2 linked regions of the Danio rerio genome follow. The protein of the gene in region 2 purifies or fractionates together with the protein of the main gene of each other region. This does not show direct contact. Links are inferred from orthologs where the notes say so. Each region holds a gene or a part of one and is shown on either strand. Other genes may lie near its edges.

Evidence for each region.
Region 1: the proteins of psme3 (region 2) and mrps34 purify together in Homo sapiens (co-immunoprecipitation; 3 studies listed by BioGRID and IntAct, counting the BioPlex papers as one, with this or other methods). This does not show direct contact. The link is inferred for Danio rerio from reciprocal best matches to the Homo sapiens genes PSME3 and MRPS34.

Annotation. Positions count from the first base shown.
Region 1 is NC_133178.1:14,674,609-14,677,440, forward strand, and holds the end of mrps34 (small ribosomal subunit protein mS34), read right to left. Parts: intron 1,819-2,832; 5' UTR 1,814-1,818; coding exon 1,496-1,813; intron 1,406-1,495; coding exon 1,363-1,405; intron 1,234-1,362; coding exon 932-1,233; 3' UTR 661-931; downstream 1-660. UniProt on the Homo sapiens protein: Required for mitochondrial translation, plays a role in maintaining the stability of the small ribosomal subunit and the 12S rRNA that are required for mitoribosome formation.
Region 2 is NC_133187.1:29,020,370-29,024,169, forward strand, and holds the end of psme3 (proteasome activator complex subunit 3), read right to left. Parts: intron 3,773-3,800; coding exon 3,654-3,772; intron 3,576-3,653; coding exon 3,507-3,575; intron 3,389-3,506; coding exon 3,321-3,388; intron 3,227-3,320; coding exon 3,172-3,226; intron 3,078-3,171; coding exon 2,991-3,077; intron 2,638-2,990; exon of another isoform or gene 1,293-2,637; coding exon 1,212-1,292; 3' UTR 508-1,211; downstream 1-507. UniProt on the Homo sapiens protein: Subunit of the 11S REG-gamma (also called PA28-gamma) proteasome regulator, a doughnut-shaped homoheptamer which associates with the proteasome. 11S REG-gamma activates the trypsin-like catalytic subunit of the proteasome but inhibits the chymotrypsin-like and postglutamyl-preferring (PGPH) subunits.

The sequences.
Region 1 (2,832 bases), on a different chromosome or scaffold from region 2:
TACAAAAAAAATTAAAGTTTATTTAAAATTTTAAGAAGTTTTTAAAGAGGTTTTGATTAGTGCTGCATAATATCGGAAAAATCTGATATTGCGATCTTTTTTTTTGCGATAAATTGTTACATGAATATTTTCAGAAGATAGTTTGAATATTATAATTGGACGGCTTTCTGGGGAGTCAGGTTGAGTAATTGAATAATCACAATGCAAAAAAATAATAATAAATAATAAGCTTTTCTTACTTTTTGTCTGGTTTCTAGTCCGAATATAAAAATAATCTTAGAGCAAGTAAAAATATTGTTTAGTTTTCACCATCAGAACAAAATAAGTGAAAAGGAAGAGGCTTTTTTCTTTGCTTGTTTTGAGGAAATTATCTGCCAGTGGGCAAGTGAAATAATCTTGTTTTCACTTTGAAATGTAGATGTTTGGACTACAAACAAGACATCAATTCTAAGTAAGAAATGTTTTCTTGCATAAATCATATAAATTCCATATAAATACAGTGATTAAATACAATTCTGTAGCTCCTGGTCAACTATAATTCAGACTGGACATTGCATATTGCGATATCAGTGCTGTAATGGTATATTGTGCAACCCTAGTTTTGATGCATATTTACAAACTACAATAAAACACCAATATCATTTTACACATTTAATTTGCTATTAAACAAATATTAGACACATGATTTTGTGACAAAAAACAAAAAGAGTCTTATGCTTTTGAGTTTGGTCACCTTGATCCAACTGTGTCAAATCTCCTCCTTTTCCTTCTTCATGAGCTGCATATCCACATGAAGATGTACGATGAACCTAGCTATATTTTAGTGAGAATAAAACAGCATCAAACACAAGTCAGTCTTTACAGCCAGCAGTGCTCTTTAAAAAGTGCCTAGGAGCAGAAGTGGTTCCCATCAAAGCGTGACCTTTACCCCTCAGACAGGTGTTCCCTCCTGCTTCTTCAGCTCATCCTGTCTCCTGAAGTACTCCTGATTGAGCGTGACCACTCGTTTGAGGGGCAGCAGGGGCTCTGGAAGAGTGCTGACCTCCACCCCCTGCTCTTTGGCCTGCTGTGCCAGTATCATGGCCCGCAGAAGGGGAGGGTACCGCACTGACCGGGCAGCAGGCTCCGGGACAGGCTCACAGCGCCTGAACTCCTCCTCTTCATGTTTGGGCACCAGTCGCCAGTCATGGTACATCACCTTGTCCACCTCACGCTCCTTGGGCTCCTCTTTACCTGAAATAGACATACAATGTCTCGTTTCTATTCAGATTTCCTCAAAATATATGATATAATCAGCTAGTGTTATTGGAAAATGTGGAGTTGATTGTGTATTAGTTATTTACAGAAAACATCTCGTCTTACCTCTAAATGTTAGGACGCCCCATGCTTTCCCGTGATCCATGTTCTAAAGGAAAAAAAACAAAAAAGTGTTTTTTATAATGTGTATAATAATTTGCATGTGTTTATTTGATTTAATGTCAAACCCCAACTGTACCTCTGCTGTGTAGTCCACCTTGACTTTGGTTATTTTCCAATAGCAGGGCTCCGTGTGCTCGTCCAGCCAGGATTTGCGCGTGAAGAGTCGACCCAAACCAAACATGCGCATGCCGGACAGTAAAGAGAAGAGGCGGGTTTCTCTCTGCACATCCTTCCAGGCCAACACCGGCAGCTTTTTTCCAGAAAAGGGCCGCGTCATGGTGTCGTAGTCTAAAGCATAGCGCTGAGAGTCCCGGGGCCGGTTCTTCAGCTCACGGTAAGCTCGGATCTTCCGTGCCATCTCGGCTATAAGCCTCAAACGCTTTTTCTTTACCATTATGCCTGAATAAAACAAAATTTAAAACATGAAGGATTCACCAAAATTGTAGAGTTGATGCACATCGCTCAAATTCTGTAACCCTTTAGTTTAGGCCACAATTCACTGTATTAACAAACCATTAACTAAAACTACTAGCTCTTAGAATGTAAACACCTTAATCAAACTATTACTGTCGTGTAGGATTTCCCCCGCATATGGTTTGTCACATTTTGTGAAAGGATAGTCTATACACACACGGCTGTTTGATGCTATTCTCTGCACCTACCGAGTGAGTGTCTGTATCTACAGAGAAATGCAGAGTTTTTTTCTCCCGTAAGGCATGCGGTATAGTATTTAATTAAAACTACACCCTTCCAGCAGTTCCTCGCATCCAATATCTTGTTTGTCACGCGTGCATGCATGAAATGTTCCTGAATGAAAGTAAAACTGCAGTTAAAGTCAACAAAATAAGAATGAAACACCCGAAATTAAGTCAAAGTCAAAGTCAGCTTTATTGTCAATTCAGCCACATGTACAAGACATATAGAGAATCAAAATTGCGTTACTCTCAGACCCAAGTTGCTTAACATTAATATAAAAAATATGTATAAAAAAATAGTACAGTTTAAGAAAAAGAAAATTTACAGTATATACATTGCACATAAATGTGGTCTAAAAATATACATAGGTAATAAAAATTGTAAACAATACAGTGACATTAAGGGCATATAGCAAATGAGTGCAAAGTAAACCAGAGTTGTGCAGATAAAGAACAGTATAGTGCAAAAAGAATGTAATGTAATGTATTTTTTATTTATTGCCATGTCAGCAACCAAGGCTATCTTCATGGCAGGAATCTTTCAACAATAAATAATACAATTTAAAAATCAACAAACAAAATAAAACATAAATTAAATAAGATTTTTTGTGTTAATACATGATAAAAATTCTAAAATCTTTTCTGGTTCCACTTTGTCAAAAATTTCCTTAAAAGAGTTAATTTCATAAAAAGTCCTTCTGGAATCAGTAAAAGCAGG
Region 2 (3,800 bases):
TTGAGTCATTGCAGATGTGTGGATGCAGTCCTCCAAGCTCATGGCGGTCATATACAATATTCTTTCTTTTACCACTGCACCATGACTTTATATTCTATACTGTACATTATTTCTGTTAGGTGACAAGACTTTTGTCCAAGCAAAGTCAGACCTTACTGTCCTAATTAAATAATTAAAAATCAAGACATTGTGGTAAAATAAGCTTAATCTAGAGGCCTTTGCCTTTTATATAAAGCACTTCTGATACCAAATAGTCATGTAGAAGTCAAGTTAATATTTATTGTTCCTAAATCTTGGCTAGGCGACAAGACTTTTGTCAGGTAGTGAATAACTCCTAGAGAAAAATACCCATCATACAAGTTTCTTTTTGTTAGCAAAAAGCTAATTAACGAAATTTTACATCTTACGCTTGTTTTTTTTTGGTTGTTTGAATACATGCAGCACACAACAAACTAAACAATTATTCACAAAAAAAGCACAACAGCAGTTAATGACATGCCTTGAATGTATTGTAAAAACAATAGTTTATTCAGCAAAATGTATCACTCTTAAAACTGGACAAAAAGAACAATAAAAAGCTTCCAGGATTTGATGAATCAGTCGTTTCAGATGAAAATATAATACTCCATGTAATAATTGTCAGCTCACACTCCAAATAAAATCTTGCACATGAACTGCCTCGCTTCCACTCTTTAGCCTACACGTACATTTCAGATGAACAACGCAAAACGCTTAAGTGAAATACAGCATCAATAAGAGCTTCTCGACCGGAGAAACCGACCATCAAGGGTAGATCCATCAATCACGCGACCCCTAGAGAGGCTTAGAAGTGGATTCAAAAACTGAACTACATGGACTTTGGCTTTGCAAATGATAAAAAAAAAGAAACTCACGATTGAAGTATTTCTTTAATTAAATAAAGAAAAACAAATCGGAGACAGTTTCTTTGCGACGCATGTTCAGGCTCTGCCTTTATACATTTACACTGTCCGCTAAGAAACAAAACAAAAAAGGGCTTATTTTGAAGGGTTTAAAATAGTGACAATATTTTACAATTCTATCTTAAGTGGCATGTTCTATCAGGCCCGATCGAGTGGTGCGTCTCTTGGCCTGGTCATAATGGGTGACGGAACTATTCTAGAACCACCTGAAAGCTAACACGAGCTCCAAATGGTGGAGAATCGGGCCGGGAAGGAAAGGGGACGGGGGTCTTAGTACAGGGCGTCAGTATTGCTGCTCCTCGGCCTCTTGATCTTCTCGATGTTCTTCAGGATCATGTCATGTAATGTTACCTGCAGGACAAGTTTAGCTCATTAAAGTCATCACAATCTACACTGTAAAAGATTATACCACTGCCTCAAGTGGAATCAAAATAACCATTTTTTGCTATTCCTGCATATATTTTTCTACAAAAAAATTGATTAAAAATAGATTTATGCAGAATGATTTTTAGGAACATAGTGTCTAAAACATTAACACATGAAATAAGATAACTTTTTAACTTAAGGTTTACAATGCAAATCCAATTAGTACTACTTGTTTGGTAAACAAAGCACCAAAAAGTCTCACAAAATATCCAGTGTAACGAATCACGTTTGATCCATGATTCATACGGATCACAACCCATGGTTTGGAACACACATGGCCTGTGGATTAGTACCTTTTTATACTGGTAGATTAATCTTATATTTATCCATTTATTTTTATTAAACTTTCCAAGTTCTGCTGGTTGATGCATGTGCCGAGTTTTCCTTGCCAAACTTAAGCCAATTAGAATTGTTTGTTTTGGATCAATTTGGAATTTCCACAACCCTCAGAGCTCGGGGGATCAGAGTGAGTGATCTTACCTGGCCCCACTCTGATCCAATCCTAAATTTGTTACGATCACAGAAAGGTCGCCTCTCACGTCATTCAAATCACATATATGAAAGCATTTAGGCTTTTCTGTAAAATATAATGATGGCGAAAGAAGTTGTGGTAGGTTGTTCGGGCTGAGGTGAGTCTCATTGAAGGTGTTTTCTGTTACTACTTGTTTAGCCTGCATTAATGCATTCAGTTTAAGTTTAAGCATGATTAATCAGTAAAGGATTGGTATCTCAACAATCACGCAACATAATATATAAATGATGGTGATTTGCAAATATTTATTAATCCTTCCAATTATGAAGCTACAAACAGTGAAATGAGACAGAAGTACTGGGAGAACGGTTTATAGTTTGAATGAAACCAGTGATGTTTATGGTAAAGATTAAAATCATTGTCAAACGCATTCAACAAATGAAAGTTGTAGGCAGCAATTACATAATTTAACCAATAGGTGGCGACAACCAGCCATTAAAAAATATGCAACTGAACAATTCTTCAAAAATGATCGTCTAGCAATGAAACATGACGTTTTATGAGTGAATAACTGAATCATTTATTGAAAATGAGACTAAAAATAAATATGGGTTGTAAAAAATATAATGTTATATTTACACATTTAGTGTTATCAGCAATATTTGTAGAAACCGTTTCAGTTTTTCACAGTACTGAATATTTTACCAATTATTTTAATTCAGCTGATTATTAGGTTCTGTTTGTTAAAACCAAAAGTGTCTTGCATTACTGTTTTTGTAATAAATGGAAAGCAACTGACATTTGTCTCCTCTCCTTTTTGTCTGACCTGAAAAAAGGTCCGATCTGTGACAAAAAAAATCCTAATGTGATCTGAACCATGAGACTTGTGATGCGTTACACCACTAATATCTACCAAGACAGAAAATATTACTTAAACTATTGTACACACATTTTCTAAGCACTTGCATATTTAATTATATTACTAAAATGATGATAAAAACTGAATAAATATACATTTATACATTTAGAGAAATAGACTTAATCATGAGTTCATCATAAACTATGTTTCCATGACATATTGATTAGATCACTTTCTACAGTGTTTAGAACATTTTGCATAATTATTCATCAACTAGTATAGCAGTACTTACGTATTGATTTCGCAGTTCTGACACTATAATCTTGAGGCTGATGTATTCCTTCTCATCAATCTCTGTCACTGTGCGGCGATAATCCTCCTAAACATCCAATAACATGAGATTATCTTAAATATAATAAAACATATTATAGACCTGACATAAATGCTAGTCTGTAAGTGTAATGATGACTTACAACATGAGGGTATTTTGCTATTTTGGAAACCAGCTTTGCCCTTGTGATATAGTACCTGGAAAAAAAATATAAGGATTTTTTTTTTTAATATGAATAAAATTCAAAAGCAAGCCGTTGTCTGCCATTAATATGGATTTAGAGTGAAGCACCTGGATATCTGGTCTAAGAAAGATGCTGCTTCCCCTTCCACTGTTCTGAGTTCAGCAACCGTCTCCTCCTGTGGACAGTAACGACAATCACAATTGCAGGTCAGTGGCTAGCAACTTCTGCATTTGACTTTCACTGATAAGTCCAAAGGTCACAGACAGTGGAAAATATTTAATGTGGCAGCATACCTGAATTGAGACACCAAAATTGTTGCCATCTTCTATTCTAGGGATTAACAACTGAACCCACATCTTGACCTAGAAGAGCACGGGAAAATTATTTAATCATTTACCTAACACGCTTGAGTGAAAGATGGCACAAGACTATCAACGTACTGTGTTGCATTTTTCCATAAGAGTTCTGATTTCAGGCTTGACTTTTTCAATCAGCTCCACCAGCTTGCCATTGCTTTTCATCATTCCACCAGGCATGACAAAGACCTTGGTCCCGCCAACTACAACAGAGCATATACAGGAATCAGA